2 linked regions of the Neodiprion lecontei genome follow. The protein of the gene in region 1 binds, or shares a complex with, the protein of each later gene. Links are inferred from orthologs where the notes say so. Each region holds a gene or a part of one and is shown in the gene's direction. Other genes may lie near its edges.

Region 1 (7,284 bases):
ATGGGAGAATTTGTTCTTGTCAAACAAGTCGGTTATTTTCAACTTTTCACTAAAAACCGTAATAATTAAACTTACAGAAAATATAATTCTCTACAGTTTTGGTTTCTACCATTTTTCTCCTAGAGTACATATTTTCTTACTTCCGCCCAAGGTAGAGAGGGGTGTAAAAGAAGTCACATTTCGAGTCACGCATTATTGTTTTTTTGCAATCTATTGTGGGTTTGGATCCATAATCACTGTTCTATTTGGACTTCAATGTAAAATATTAGTAACGAATAAGTACAATGTAGTGGGATACATACATTTAGTATGCTATTACGGTAAAGTATACGGCTTATGTTATGCATTTTTATTGTACAATCGCTACAGGCGTGACGTACAGTAATGTATACCTAGCTTGCAACATAGTAATCGTTAAATGTGAAATGAATGATGAATCGATGTTGATCGGTTCATGAGTCAAGGATGGTATGAAGTTATACCAACTACTAAGAGCAGTTTCATCTTCTATCTTCGTTCAAAGTCTTTTATCCCTTTGTTCGAGTTTATATTCAAGTGTTCAATACTCATTAGTATTTCATACTTCTAACAATCACGAGGCATGAAGTAATAAAATTTTTCAATCACAATCATTGCGATGCGTCGCAGCAGTGATGCGCTTTAACATCATTTGTATACCGAATTGGTGTATGCGTAATTCATGAATTATAAATATATTTCGTATCGAATTCATGATGCTTCAAATATGTTGTTTATTGTTCAGTCATCAAATAGTGCACGATGGACTGCGCCAAGACTAGGCTGCACATAACTTGAACTCGCACTCCGTCTTGTTCTGTAAATTAAAATGACAGCCTCAAGCGAACAAAGATTGGGATTGTTAAGAGCCGAACAGGAAGATATCAAAAATAATTATCATTACAATTTAGTTACTTCAAGTATATGATTTTGCTTACTCGGGCAATGGCCTAACTGCTGGACCAGTTGGATTATTTTTTGGTCGTGGATTAACTAATAAACATTTCATAGGATGTCCATCCAGTTGCCGATTGTGATAAGTTTCCACCGCTTTCGTTGCATCTTTTAATGTCTTGTAAATCACCTCAGCTGTGCCTGGGCGCACTAACCTGGACACCAACAATTCTCCGACGTCCTCGAACAGTTCCTTAGTAACAAGAATTTAGCATCTAATGTACATAACTACAGGCGCATTGTACAATAAATATTTGGCTTCCACGTCGTAATTACCAACAAAATAGACGTGAATATTTTAGGTTTACCTTTATATCCTCCTGAGTTACATTGGCCTGGAGATTTGATACAACGATTCGATAACCAGTCGTTACTGACGTCGAATTTGAGCTAGACTTTGGACGAGATAAAATACCCATGGTTCGAGGTTTATTTGGTAATGAATCCAGTCGCGATTTAACACCAACGTCTCTACGACCCCTGATGTCCAGGTATCTGTCATTTATAGTATCTTCAGTCAATATGGTTCTGCAAATATACAAGGACGATTTATGCAGCAGTAGTTAAACAGCAAGAGATGAATTAAAACTTTAGTCCAATGAAGCAGTGACGACATACCTTGCTTTTGATCCAAAACTCCAATCGCTCTTTGAAGTAACCATTGGTTTACCCTGAAAGCAGCCAACAATTGTAATATTTAAAACCTCTGCTTTTCCAGAAAATTATGAAATTTATTGAATTTTTATTCCCTCATGAGCTAAATGCTTACGAAATCTAAAGATTTATATTTCTTGTGAAAATGTCACAGAAAATTGTTCAGCCAAACGAAGGAAATTTACAAAGTCTACGTTTGTAAGCAATAGACTTTTGTAATTACCATTGAAGTACGAGCCACAATTTTAAAGTCACGTGGTCTCTGAACCTCAACTGGCCTAGAAGAACCCATCCTTCCAAGACTACTACCAGGCAGTTTCACCCAAGTGTATTCATTGGTCGGGGATAAGTTGAATGAAGGTGGTGGTGGAGGTGGCACAGGCACATATTCATTGTTGACAGTCCGCCTTAGAGGTGTTGAATCCATCATGTAATCTAAGAATGGATGAGATTGAATCATCGGTATTGAGTAAAGGCAGTCAAAATGCATGTGTCATAACACACATTTGAAATTGATTATCAATGTTACTGATACATATTGAAATATTTAGTTAAATTTCATCCACAAGTGTCGTAAGAATTCATATTTTGTCATAACACAATCTAAATCCAAAATCATTATGTAATGCTGGATAGAAAATCTTTGAGAATATACAAACTATATTGCTAGAGGGAATTAAATGTTTCGGAATGTTCAGAGACGTAAAATCAGAAAATAGTCTGAAAAAAAAGACATTCTAAAAGCAAATATCAGTGCAAGAAATTGAAAAAATATCTGAATACAAATAAAATTATAGATTATGTCAAGGAGATATTCAATGTGCAATCGAATTGAGGGTATAATATACAAGTCTTCCTAGAGTAGAAAATAGATAAAAAGAAAATGAGCACCATCATTGAAGTTCATTTCCATATCATCAGCGTATGAAGTTTCGACCATGGGCGGTGCCCTGTACTCCATAGCTCTAGAACCTGGCGCCAAATAATTTGTAGCCGGAATCGGGTGCATGGTTTTATTATGAAGCTTATTGGTCGTCAATGTAATTCGACCATTGAGGCCCGTTTGACGAGAAATTCCACTGAGAGGTAAATCGACAGTTTTCAAATGAGTGGCACGTAATTTGTCCAACTTCAACCTGGCATCAGACTGCTTGGCTATTTGAGCTAGTTTATCTCGAGCATCAGTGAGTTTCTCACGATTCTTTTGGATGATTTTGAATCTAGCATCCGCAATGACCGGCCCTCCTCGACCTCTCGAAGATACGTTAGTTCGTAGAGTACTTCGGTTGATGCCTCTTCTCGACCTGTAATATTGGTGAGATATCATAAGCTTGCTGTAATTAATGAGCATCAGATATGATTGTGGCTCGATAGATGTTTTTGAAGGTTATAAGATTCATGGTGAAGTAAGGCTTAAGTAACGAGCTTTACTCACAGAAAAAATTTTGAGATTTCAATAAGAAAATGATAAATTCTCAACTCACCCGCGGCCTTTCATTGCTGAAATTTTGGATTTCTTGATTATGTCATCTAAACTAAGCACATTATCGGCCATGCTTCGACAAACTGTACCCTGGTAACTACAAAAACAATCGAACGATGAACCCTAACTTACACCCCTGATGGATCTATGGGGGAACGCCGTTTTGGATCTGTTTGATGTATCGCAGTAGCGGCAGTAGCTATTGGTGGCCATTGGCCTACGAGTAAGTGACGCGACCACGACGCGAACCTTAGCACGTGTTCCGAAACGCACAACGAATTGCCGTGTACCAGAGTTACCACTTCAGTGCGATTTTATGATACGGCAGGTAATACTGTACAATGCTCTAACAATAAGTAATTAGTTGCAGTCATACATTACTTATGCATTTACCGTCGCGGCACCTCGACAATTAGTTAAAAAAAACCTATTCCATGTCAAAGGGTGTTACTAAATCAGGGGGGCTCACTCTCTCTAAATATCCTTGGTTTGTGGTTGCAGAAATATTTGTTGTCACAGCGACCTGTAGACCACTTTAGGTTAATAACTTTTTTTATGCAATGTGGAAGGATACAGTAATAAGTGCATCAGATAGAATATTTCCAGGTCTCGCTTATCACAATCGAATAAAAGAATTTCATGACATCGGTAATAAACCTTGCGATCTATTCGACGATGTCGGAATGGTCAGCGTCGCGTTGATGTTCGTATTCTACGTTACTTTTGCCATTTTACAGGAAACGTGATTAAGTCCAGTTTACCGCTACAAATGGCACTGTATTTCAATACTTGGCTATTTCCGTTTTGGTTTTTCATCAGTTTGAATCTTCTCGATCAAAAAGTAACTACTCTTAACGAATAGCAGCAATATTGCTGATATTTTAACCCCGTTAAAGCCCGGTAAACCCATCACCGGTTAAATATTGATTACCCATAGTTGACTCGTTATCAAGAATGTACGTATTGATATTTTAATCTAATACTTTAAGCTTAACTAAAGTTGTGATTTTTTTTCAGTACCATAAACTATCGGACATTTACAAATTTATAACTGTTGGCGTTTTCGTAATTGTTGCCGTTTCGGAATGCATACGACTGTACCTAGGATACCTTGGAAATTTGGCAGAGAAGGTTTAGGCGTTGTATTTGCGTGAACTTGAAAAAACTTCAATGAAATGTTATGGAGAAAATTACCATATTTGCGTGATTTCAGATTCCCGAGTTGGCTTGCTTTTGGCTGATTTCAACACTGATACAATTTCCTCTACAAATGTTTACTCTTGTTGATGGTAGGATGCTGCCAGGTAGAGGAGAACATGTAGTAAACAGCGTTATGTTAGTTTTCCTCCTCACTGAAATAATTACTGGAACAATTGCATTAAGAAATTCGGCCAATCATCATGCAAAAAGATTTTACCTCGCACAACTGTACGAAATTAATGAAAAACTAGAGTAAGACCGATGAAATATCTTTGAACTGTAATGCTTGTATATATGAAATATTAAACTATTCATCACTTAATTATTTCATAACTCAATTATACAATCATTAACCTCGTATAAAACATAAACATACATACATATCTTTCATCTGTACATAGGTATAAAGTAATAAATTTATGACCCACAATCACTCATTACCTAGTTTCATTTGGCACCTATCAGAATTGTGTAAATACACGATTTAATCTGCGGAGCAGCAGCCAGTCACCTATTGGTCACGTTTGCAGTGAATCCAACTGTTGTTGAACACATTTTAAATATTCGTTGTAAAAATATGTTTGTACTAAAATGTAAAAACTGCACATGGAAAAACTTGTAGATCAAGTTTTAAGACCACATATCATCAGTTTGCTTCTGAGCCTATATTCAAGACTCGTGATTAAGTTCCGAAATAGATAAATCTTGAAAAGTATTTTCAAATATCTTGATAATAATATGTTATCTACCAAACATAGTTAAATCAAGCTTGGCGTTCACAAAGAAAAAATTAAAGTATTTTTCAAGCTCGCCATGAAATTTACTGAAGTAACTGTTGGTTATACTTTTGCACCATTTTCTAGGTTGTGCTCGATGTAAAAGGTGAGCAGATTTTGCAAATTTTCTTTCAAAATGACCAAAAACACGTCTAGCTCTTGTATTATCAAGTCATCTTTATTCCTTTGCTCATTAGCAAGGGCGTGCAGTAGTTGGGATCGTGTCGGTACCGTCCTTGATAACAGCTACAAAACAAATTGCCAGTTATTAATGGTGCAACAGAAAGTTAATTAATACCACCAAAATTAATGCTCATACATACTCCAAACAGCTGCTGTGCCATCCATCCGTGATATGGTTCCAGGGCTTCTTTGTAAGCTTTTTTCAGAAGTGCAACCAGATCATCGCTAGCTTTTCCAGTTTTGTGATCCTCAATAATCTTTTCAAAGAACACCTGGATCATGTGGAGGCCTCTGTGATGTAGTAAGGATACAAACTTTAGAGAAGAAGCCTGCATGTATTATTTGATACCTGAAATTCTGTAGAATTAATTAATTTGCTACCTTCGCAGCCAGAGGAGAGCATCTGTGGCGATTATAGTTTTCCCTGAAATTTTTTCCAACAAGATCATGTCATGCAACGTCGAGTGTTTCTCTTTGTCAGCCACATACTTTGTGTTCAATTTCTACAAAGATTTCCATTGAATTCAGTGATAATTAGATGTAAGTAAAATATATTCAACGCTTTAACTGCGAAAATCGAGTAAGGGTTCAACTCACGTCAATATTTCCCTGCATGTCATATTTGACCGGTGCAAAGAGCTTTCCAAATTTATCTGAAATGAGTAAAAAAGGGTTCTCAGTATAACCGCGGTGAGTAGGTACTCACCCGCTGCATAGCTAATCGTAATGTCACGTGCATTCGCACCAATGCCGCCTCGGTGTTTGAATCTAGGTTATGTTCGCGGCGTGATGTCTGTGCGAGACGAGACGCGTGTGTGTGTGATACTTAACTTACCGACGATTCGCACAACGCCCTGCGCAGCAGCTAAGAACTCCGCGGTGTTTATTTTCCCGTCGATAACGGGAGGGAATTTAACGAAATTATCGTCGGCTGTGGCGTCAGTGGTGCGTTGTTGAGTTCCGGAGGTCGATGAAGCCATGTTTTTGTGTTACCTCGTCCTATATGAATAGAAATTTATAAACATATATTATATATTTTCAACATTACAAAAGATTCTGTTGTAGCCGTCCACCAAATGCCTTAATCGTATGCGGCGACCGGCTTACATCATCCATTCGCGCGTCTCCGCAATGCATGCAAGATATACAGCCGCGCATCGTGCGAAGCATTATTGCCACATATTCATCTGCGGCAGCTGTTTAAATATTGTATACAAACAGCCCAATACGATCACTATTATTATAATTATTATTAGAGCTTATTACGGTAAAACGTTGAAAATAAATCGGTATTGCCGTTTTTATATTTAAAGTTCCGCCTTAAATTCAAGATTACCTCCGCGATTGATTGACTTAGAATTGAAAAAATTCGAAAGATATCAACTTTCCGTAAAGTTTTTTCATCTCGGCCAATAAGTTACCGTGGATTTGAGTTTTAATTCACCGTTGCAAAATGACCCGTGTCACATGTTTGGTGTGCTTAGCAATTCACAGGCTTTCAAATATTCGATATTCCCGCGTTCGCAAATTAGATGAAAATCGTTCCGCTTTATCAAGGTTCGTATTTCCTCTCGCTTATCAATTTATACGTATACTACACGTAGATTACGGTTTTGCGCAATTATGCTACATGGCAGATATAAATTTAAAATCAAGCGAAGCTTAATGATTAGACCAATCAATAGAGCAGAAAATGAGTGATTCTGTGACACAAATACTATTAGGATACCGACTGTGCTATCACACAAAACACAGTACTTAGTTCTGTTATGTTTTCCATTCACAACTATCATTTATCAATTTTTTATAAATATTTAAAAGCAAAAAATCGGTTTTTTCGATTTTCGCTTGTAACTTCAAAACTAACAAAGCAATCTTGATGCTTTGCTTAGACGAATTATCGAGAATCAAAAGACGAAGAAAATAAGCGCTGAAACGACTTGATCGGATTATTATTAACGGGGAAAATCCGGAAAAATCAATGTTTCTTTCACAAATTAATGACACCACTATTTT
Region 2 (9,864 bases), on another chromosome or scaffold:
ACTACCTACCTTCCCTACGACAAACTCGAAGAGAACATCAAAATCGTGAAGAAACGGTGAGAGCTACTTCATTTGATTCCAGACTAGTTTTTCACTTCATGCCAACGTTTGCAAAGTTAGTTTTAAAAATGAAGCAATTGATCGAAATCATAATCGAAATTCTACTTTCAGACTCAACCGACCACTGACATTATCTGAAAAGGTTTTGTACTCTCACCTGGATGAACCGCAGACGCAAGATGTTGTCCGTGGAACGAGTTACCTCAGATTACGACCAGACCGTGTTGCTATGCAGGATGCTACAGCACAGATGGCGATGCTGCAGTTCATTAGCTCCGGTTAGTAATTTTGTTTTTTCTTCAGACAAAAGTGATCTATAAAAGAGTCTTCTCACTAAAGATTCTCACTAAAGATTCTAAACACTAAGAATAGTTTCGTATCTGAATAGATTCAATTTCTATTAGCTTACCTGTTTTTGTCTCTCCTTTAGGTCTCCCCAAAGTCGCTGTGCCCTCGACCATCCACTGCGATCACTTGATCGAAGCTCAAATTGGTGGAACTGAAGATTTGGCCCGAGCCAAGGACGTAAATAAGGAGGTATACAATTTCCTGAAGACAGCTGGTGCCAAGTACGGCGTTGGATTCTGGAACCCTGGATCTGGTATCATCCACCAAATTATTTTGGAAAACTACGCATTTCCTGGGCTGCTGATGATTGGTACAGACTCTCACACACCGAACGGAGGAGGCTTGGGAGGCTTGTGTATTGGTGTTGGTGGAGCTGACGCTGTTGACGTGATGGCCAATATTCCGTGGGAATTGAAGTGCCCCAAAGTTATTGGTGTCAAGTTGACTGGCCAGCTCAAAGGTTGGACGAGTCCGAAGGACATCATTCTGAAGGTGAGACATGCTGTGCATGAAATGCGGTGCAAAAATAATAAGACAACAATTTTCTACAGGTTGCAGGTATCCTGACGGTGAAAGGAGGCACTGGAGCGATTGTAGAATACTTTGGCCCTGGTGTGGACAGCATTAGCTGTACTGGTATGGCCACGATTTGTAACATGGGTGCGGAAATTGGTGCTACGACTTCAGTTTTTCCGTACAATGGACGCATGCAGGATTATCTGAAGGCGACTGGACGTGGGGAAATTTCCGTTGCGGCTGATCAGTACAAGGAGAGTCTCCTCACTGCTGATTCCAACGCTAAATACGATCAGGTCATCGAATTGGATCTTTCAACGCTGGAGCCACATGTCAACGGACCGTTTACACCCGACCTTGCTCACCCTATTTCCAAATTGGGTGAGTTCAATTATTTAAGTAAAGATTGACACGGGAGACTCATGATTTTATCGTTCTTTTCTTATTTCACGACTATATACTTTTGATGGCATCATGAAAAAGAAACCTTGTATTCAAACGATAAGATTAACCTGATTGCTTTAATTTGTGTCCTGTTCAACAGAGCTTACTGTTCATTGTAGTATTATATAATCTCCCCTTCCCCCAATATCTTAATGATCATGCAGTTATTCGAATCTACATAGTTTGATTAAGTTGTTACAAAGCGATATTCAATCAATCTCAAACATTTTGTGCTGTGATTGGTATAGATTGGGTTACTCCAGATGCCCGTATGTGTTCGTTACTTAGGCGCTTTCGCATGCTTATGTGGTTTTTAAATTTCAGGTGAAACTGCAAAGAAAAATGGATGGCCAAATGAGATAAAAGTCGGTCTCATTGGATCGTGCACAAACAGTTCTTACGAAGACATGGGCCGATGTGCAAGCATTGCCAAGCAGGCCATGAAGCACGGAATTAAGTCCAAGTCCACCTTCAACGTAACTCCTGGCTCTGAGCAAATTCGTGCCACCATCGAACGCGACGGAATTGTAATATCATATTCCTAATACATATGTTTCGTCGCTAATAATAATAACAGAGAGTAACTGACTTTCTTTGGGAAAGCCATTTTGGTTGGAAATTGTCACAGTAACAACCAATTCTCGTTGCACTTGCAATGAAAACAAAATGCTACTTCACATTTATTTAATCTCGAACTAACTCTGTAACCCTATTAAACAGGCCGAAACGCTTCGTCAATTCGGAGGCGTCGTTCTCGCTAACGCGTGTGGTCCTTGCATTGGGCAATGGGATCGTCAAGACATCAAAAAGGGCGACAAAAACACTATCGTAACATCGTACAACCGCAACTTCACTGGTCGTAACGACGCAAACCCGGCAACTCACGCTTTCGTAACAAGTCCAGAGCTGGTAACAGCGTTGTCAATCGCTGGACGATTAGATTTCAACCCGGTTACGGACAAACTGAAGGGCGCTGACGGCAAAGAGTTCTTGCTGGACGATCCATTCGCTGACGAACTGCCCAGCCGTGGCTTCGACCCTGGCCAAGAAACGTACGACCATCCTCCCGCTGACGGTAGCTCAGTCAAAGTTGACGTCGATCCCAAATCTCAAAGGCTTCAGCTTCTGGACCCGTTCGACAAATGGGACGGCAAAGATCTTACCGATCTAGTCGTCCTTATCAAAGCGAAGGGAAAATGTACGACCGATCACATATCCGCCGCTGGACCGTGGCTAAAGTACCGTGGTCACTTGGACAACATTTCTAACAACATGTTCATCGGGTATGTGGCCGCTATTACGTATTCTTCTTATCAACTTTTAGAAATACTTCTATCTACTTGTTTGGAGGTTTCCAATTTTCCTTGTTTTTCAGTGCGGTCAATGCGGAAAACGGCGAAGTCAACAAAATCAAGAACCAGCTTACGGGAGAGTGGGGAGCTGTTCCCGATGTTGCTCGACATTATAAAAAGAATGGCGTCAGATGGGTAACTATCGGCGATGAAAACTACGGCGAAGGTTCGTCTCGGGAACACGCTGCTCTTGAGCCCAGACATCTTGGAGGACGTGCCATAATTGTGAAGAGTTTTGCTAGGATCCACGAAACCAATTTGAAAAAGCAGGGTATGCTTCCATTGACTTTCGCTGACCCAAGTGATTACGACAAAATCCAACCAACTGACAAGATCAACCTCCTTGGTCTCAAGGATTTAGCTCCTGGAAAGGTTCGTTGATAAAGTTGTTTGACCTAAACGCAAAAATTATATTTCAGATTTGATTCTATTTCCCAGATGAGATCAGTAATTAACACATCTGATTCAGTGCTTGTGATTATTTGTCTTGTTTTTTGATTTGTTTTAGCCTATCAAGGCAGAAATCAAACACAAAGACGGAAAGGTTGACACCATCACTTTGAATCACACGTTCAATGAGCAGCAGATTGGTTGGTTCAAAGCAGGCTCAGCGTTGAACCGTATGAAGGAAGTAGCCCTAGGAAAGTAGAGGGTTAAACGAAACTGAAGAAACGAAGGATGAAGATGTCGAATTGAGAAGTCGAACAATGCCAAAAATGTCAACTAGCAGTAAGCTAGTATGTCACATGTATTGAATTTTCGAAAGCAAATAGGGAAAATTTACGAAATCGTTCGTAGACAGGGAATTTTAGTTCCGATAGAAATTTGATTTTTGAAGCGGCAGTTACGCGTACAGACGGTAGATATTTAGGAAATAGAACAATGCAAATATAAGGTAGTATTCATTACGAGAACTGAAATTTAAGGGAGCTAATTATCACTAAGAATCATGCGATATTAGAGAAATTTTATAATCGGGCTAAAGTTGCATACTTTTTTTTATGCATGTACGATGTACAATAAGTAATGAAACTTCCCTTCAATTGACAAAATTATTGTACGTATTATTGATTATGGATGTGTATATTCAAACTCGAATCAAGACTAGACTCAAATCTAAAATCGGTAGCTACTTTTTAGTCTCACTTCAACGATGCTATTCTGCGTCTTTATAATCCATTGCCAATCATTCAAGTCTGATTTTGCCAACTGAATAAAAGATGAATCGTAAAGACCAGTGCTCCTTGGGTCAGTTCTGTATAAAAAAAAAAAATTGTATATTAAGCAAGTCGGTGATTTAATCTGAATAATAATGCCCATTAGTACATTAATAACTGTTACTTAGGATATCATTTACACAGTAATACTTATTGTATATATTATTCTCTGTATCGATCGATTAAAAAGCAAAAGCTGTCATTTTTAACAGTTTTTGCCGTGTTAATAAAGTTTTACCTAGTATGCGTTAGTAGTTTGAAGTCGAAATTTTTCATTGAACAATTTTGTGGCTACTTCAATACCGATCGTATATTTTAGTAGAGTACTGCAAGTTTATATCCAAAAATAATCATTTTAATAAAAGTTTCACTGGGTTCTTACATTACTTTTAATTCGATCGTTAAATTTATGAAATAAATCAGTTCACCGGGAAAAGTGAAGAGCTATTGTCACTGAGTACCTAACAAAATTTTGATAATTCGTAATGAAAAGCTTGAATTGTCATTTGGTGTAGAATATAAGCGCCTAGCACAATTATCTTTGAAACCACAAATGTATCGCAAGTTGCTTGTCCAAACTTCATCAGGCGTTTTACCCGTTAATCGTCGAAACGCGCGGATATCGTCATGACAACGCAGAATGACGAAATTCACAACAAATAGTAAAGCGAACGCGTAAAAGCAAACCTTTGGTAGTCGATAGAGAAAATATCATCTGATCTGACGGAGAAGTAATTTATATCCATGTCAGTCGAGGGTGAATTTTTCTTATCAGTGACAGGATCGATCGAGTACGCAAACTTCTATGACATTGATAACGTGTATTGCAAATATGGATACCACTTTGGACCGGACTGGAGCATCGTCAGGGTATACACATCACACATTATTGGTTTACTTTCTTATCTGTGTTTTTTTTTTATTTCAATATTCCGACCGCTTGGTTAATTTTCTCAGTACTAACAATTCCATTTCTCACGGAAAAATTGTAAAAATGGTTTTTGTTTTATCCACTATCGTAATTGTACCAATACTTGGCAAAAGTTTCAATTATTATCTACCGTTGCTCAGTTATTAATTTGCAAATTTCTACGCGCTCAATCCAGCGACGACGGCAAAATCATTTATTTATTATCACGCGAGTTATTCAACGATGGAGATAATTTATACATTCCTCAAATACTTGATTTGCATTTTACCTGCAGCTGCCGTGTAACAAGAAGTGATTCGCGTGTTCACATCAGTCGGTAACATTCTGTTAGATATTTTAAGAGTATAAAGTAAGTTGATAAAAACTGATAACGTAAAAGTTACTGATCTGATTTCCGATTTGCGCTAATCATAAACTTCTGTGGGGAGAATTTTTTTTCCATCAATAATCGATGTACATGTCGATGAACGTACCGCGAAATGATTCTTGATTATTCCTGGGTGTTATAGCCATAAAATTTAAGTGCCCAATTAATTACGGGCTAGATGATAAATTTATTTTATATTCAAATGTTAGGCTTCGCGTACAGCACAAGATCCTGCTTGCCTTTAGTCATGTCATTCAAATAACCGCTTTCCAAGCTTTTAATAACGCTACATGTTATAACATACATAATACGGACGGCTTGGTCGATTTTTGCAGAAATTTATTCACCCACTTAATCTTGATAGTTTCAAATAATCTTGATGGAAGGAAAGGAGTTTGGTATACTTTTCTTTTATTGTTATATTCCTCTTGTTTTCTTCCGCTCTCGAAAGAATTACCCATACAGCTCATAACCACATCGAAGTATAGATATCACTTAAGGTTATTAAATTTCGTTGAAAGAATTTCGTCTCTATGAGTAACCAAAGTATTCACCCGCGGTTATACCGCGGCATAAATTGAATGGGAAAATATTCACAACCGGGGATTGAACGCACGTGCTCTTATCGCTCTCGAGATTGGATCATGAGGTAGCTGGTTGTGAGAATTCGTGACTACAATTGAAACGCTGGGAAGAAAAACGTGACAAAAAGCTTTCGTAGGGTATCATCCTCAAAGTTTCCTCTACAGTACATGTAAAACAGGGGTGTATCGCACCGATAATTTTCATTTCTACGATCTCCTCTCAATAACAATTCCGCCGATTTGAATAATATACAGTATGTCGCATGTAGAATTGTAAACCAAAATTTTTCAACTCCACAGGGAATCGAAGAGGGGCTTACGCAAATGAGTAAAAAAAGCACCGACGCTCGCCAGGTTGCTGTTTGGAACTTTCCTCTCGATATTGCGTTCAAGAGTATCAATCCCCAGGGATGTAGGTATAGCTGTAAAACTCATATAAAATTACAAAATAGAAATTAAAAAAAAAAATACAACCGAACAACCACCCTTTACAATGTTTGCCAAGTTTCAAAATGTTTTGACTACAATTAGTATACGTAGAATTTAAAAGATTAAATACTAGACGTAACAATATTCTTATCGCAGCAATTAGCGTGATTACCCGTATCACGATAAGATATCAGACGTTCTCGACATTGAATTTTTTTTTTTTTTTTTACATTTTCGAATAGCAAAATACATCGATTGCACTTACTAAATACCATTTTCCATCTGTTTTAGGGCCTCAGTTGATTCTGTCAGTTTACGGTTTGGACTGTTTTGGTCATGATGTGGTTAGAGGCTACGGAGTTTGTCACTTGCCACTCGCGACTGGCACGCACACAAAAAAGTACTTCAATTTTATCCACATTTTTCAGACGCCCGCTTATATTTGAGTGGAATTGCATCATAGTCGTTCAACTGTCGCGATCGAACCGTGGAATAAAAATTTACACAGCAATTAATTCGGACGTTTACTTTTCAATTTCTGCGAAGCGAGAAACGTCCTTTTGATAAGGCACGTCAGCCGTGCGACTTGCAGAGGCAGTTCAAGAATGACGTGACCCCATTTTTTTCCACTTACCCACTTTGCCCTCGAATATCAGATCTCTTCTCGTTTCCCTTAAGCTTCAATTTTTCTTTAACATGCATAAATAAACGATACGCTTCAATTTGGTGGAAAAAATTGTAGATAATATTTAAAAGTGACCGCTTAATTTTCTGCGCAATCGATAAAAAAAAATAAATAAACAAACAAATAAATAAGTGAACATTAGAATTTACAGCCACTTTTGGCAAGGTATGTAATCAGTTTCATTAGCGCAAACGTTTCGTTTTCAGGGTGGCTGTGTATGTTCCGCAATCTTCTTCGATATTGCAACAATTTATTGCCTGGTTCTCCGGAAGGAGACCGGAACTAATAGATCCAACGATACTCGCAACTGGCGGAGGGCGAGAGCGTAAGAACCATTCGAATACCCAACATCCACAGCTTACACGACACACGACACATTTATTTTCGCACATCGCTTGCCTCGGTTTCTTACCGCGATATAACGCATAAAGCTGAGCGATACTTTTATTTCGTGAGGAAACTCGCGGTCGTCAATGTACATTTTATTCTTCACCAGACTTCACGAACAATATTCGACGTGAACAGAGCTTGGTACAATAATGCTAGAGCTCGTCTTTGGCAAATTTAAAATGCACCTACTGTAATATTAATATTTCCAATTCAGCGCAGTTTTAAATTTGAAAAATTTAGGGATATTATTTTTTCAGTGACGAGGATGATTTCCCAAGGAACTATTACAGTGCGTTTTAACGTATCGATGAAGGATTTTTTTAAACTGGGTTACAGCAACGGCCAGCAGGCGGATAGGTAACACTATACTTTATCGAAACCCTTGAATAAATATTATGCTTTGTATGTTTATTGCCAAAACCCTATATGTACACGTATGCACGTGCGCATGTATTGTATGTTTATATTACAAATAAATAACCTGTAATTAGATGAACCGTATTTATGATATCTCCAGCACATCTGTATACGTCGAGGTATACGTACATCATACGCGGCCTATTCGCAGGTAAATTAGGCATTATATTATGGAATTTATACTAATGGAATCTGCCGGTATTCAAACGTAACGTATTGTCAATTAATATATCCACTTAAGCGTATTTCTCTGTACCGTGCTTTATTATCATAAAAATACTGTTACGGCGTTCATTCAGCAAGTTCCTGATGGCGAACGCATTTGACACTCCTCGCATTACAATATTTATTAAACACATGTTTCAAAAATTTGTTTTAAAACAGTTGCACTTTGCCCGTAAGAATCACTATACTTTTCTATTTTTGCAACACGGTATTTTTTTTTTCCTTTTTCTCCACAGTTTTATCGCACTTTTCGTAGATATTAATATTGCCGGTTATATTATTGGAAAACAATTAGGACCGGATTATTTTACCACCCTGATCGTATACGGTATAACGACTAATATTTGCCGAGCGTCTTTCTTAAGTAAATAATTGTAGACTAATTCTCAACGAAAGCGCTCTCGGTGAACTTTTCTTCTGAGGTATTTACATATAATGCCTGAATTCTGAGGGACCTGGAACAGAGAAATGAGAGAAATTTATTCAGATGTTAGTCCATTGATTGAAATATTATCAGAACCTTATTCGTCCAACTGTGCAACCCAATTCGTTTTCAATTGGTAATTTTGGCGCGTGTTGAATTCTCGGGGACGGTATAACGAGAAAAAGGTCGAGAACGAAAGTTTCGAATTCAATCTTTAATCATTCCCTCGTCGCCGTGCTGGTGGTTCGCATACGTTCGAGAGCATAAAGCGGGGGCGGCTAATTGAGGCTGAATTAATCGAGCGATCCTGTTCGATCACGGTTTTCGTGGTTTGAGGGTAAAATGAGGTATCGGAGTCCAGCTGGACGCGGCAAGTCGCATCGAGTACGCTTTCATTGATCGGCGTCGTTTCGCGTGTAGTGGAGGATCGTTTAAGCGATGAAAATACCGGGGCTTCGGGGGCTTGATCACGATCATCCTCTTTCAAGCACATAGATTAAAGCGTCCGTCGTTTGTCCCACCGATACGCGGTGCTTTCCTAGGAGAGAAAGTACGTCGTTTCACTCGTCGACCAAATTCCCAGTCGTTATACCTATATTACACTGGCTTTGCACAAGTATTTGCCGTCGCGAATCGATCTACGCAGAGTCAAACTGAACGAGCAAAAGGCTAATTGTAAAATAAACACGAAAGGAAAAGCTCAGAGTATCGGTCTGTGGGAAAAGAAAAAGGGTGGATACCTGAATGGCAAATTCTAGGTCGGGAATTATCGCTTTTATCGATTTCTTTCCAAATGACGCACATTGAAAATACGAGTTCCTCCCCTTACCGCAAAACACATAACTTCGAAAACCGCGATCAGTTGTGATTTAAATTTAGACCATTTCTCCAATATGATTCAATAAAATAAAGTACATCACCGGTTGTTTATGAGGCTGAAATCGGGCAAGTTACGTCGCTTTCAGTCGTCGCCTTGTCCGCAGAATATTCGGCAGTAAACGTTGTCGAAACGAAGTATTATAGAAGCTGTGCAACCTTTCCGAAGAGGGCGGTAAAACTCTGCTTATCACCGGCTTGTGCATATAAAGAAGACGGGCGTAATAAGTTGCAATAAAGGCTGCGTAATAAATGCCGAGGACAATAAAGAACACCGCATAATGCAGCGTCGATGCAAGCACCGCCTTGCAGAAGCCGTGAATAAACGTAGGCGTGATGATCTTGCCGGACCGCCGCAGGATCTGCAAGGATCAGACGATCGAGTAGAACGCGCACGTTGATACGATTTAAATACGCGTTCGCGTGTCGGGGATTCTTTGGGATATTAGCCGTTGTTTCATCAGCGAAAGGTCCTTAGAAAAAACGGCGAACAACTACGGTATTCTCATAACGAGAAGTACACAAGAATTTTGCCGAAGGCAACGCGAAACGAACATCGTCCTGACTTGGGATTTTCTTACTCGCGATGCTGCCTTTCA

Evidence for each region. Proteins that work in one complex are often made in the same cells at the same time.
Region 2: transmembrane protein 17B (region 1) and B9 domain-containing protein 1-like share a complex: the UniProt entries of both Homo sapiens proteins name them as parts of the tectonic-like complex. The link is inferred for Neodiprion lecontei from reciprocal best matches to the Homo sapiens genes TMEM17 and B9D1.

Annotation. Positions count from the first base shown.
Region 1 is NC_060263.1:2,798,111-2,805,394, reverse strand, and holds transmembrane protein 17B, read left to right. Parts: upstream 1-3,443; 5' UTR 3,444-3,669; coding exon 3,670-3,757; intron 3,758-3,846; coding exon 3,847-3,950; intron 3,951-4,126; coding exon 4,127-4,240; intron 4,241-4,303; exon of another isoform or gene 4,304-4,322; coding exon 4,323-4,565; 3' UTR 4,566-4,631; downstream 4,632-7,284. Other genes in the region: uncharacterized protein LOC107222077, read right to left, coding at 760-835, 957-1,165, 1,281-1,500, 1,591-1,643, 1,850-2,061, 2,518-2,930, 3,111-3,181. UniProt on the Homo sapiens protein: Transmembrane component of the tectonic-like complex, a complex localized at the transition zone of primary cilia and acting as a barrier that prevents diffusion of transmembrane proteins between the cilia and plasma membranes.
Region 2 is NC_060261.1:40,676,735-40,686,598, reverse strand, and holds B9 domain-containing protein 1-like, read left to right. Parts: upstream 1-4,675; 5' UTR 4,676-4,681; coding exon 4,682-4,807; exon of another isoform or gene 4,808-6,119; coding exon 6,120-6,231; coding exon of another isoform or gene 6,232-6,235; exon of another isoform or gene 6,236-6,539; coding exon 6,540-6,648; exon of another isoform or gene 6,649-7,139; coding exon 7,140-7,258; exon of another isoform or gene 7,259-7,563; coding exon of another isoform or gene 7,564-7,580; coding exon 7,581-7,684; 3' UTR 7,685-8,094; downstream 8,095-9,864. Other genes in the region: aconitate hydratase, mitochondrial, read left to right, coding at 1-56, 172-338, 491-900, 960-1,305, 1,693-1,895, 2,089-2,651, 2,744-3,092, 3,229-3,369. UniProt on the Homo sapiens protein: Component of the tectonic-like complex, a complex localized at the transition zone of primary cilia and acting as a barrier that prevents diffusion of transmembrane proteins between the cilia and plasma membranes.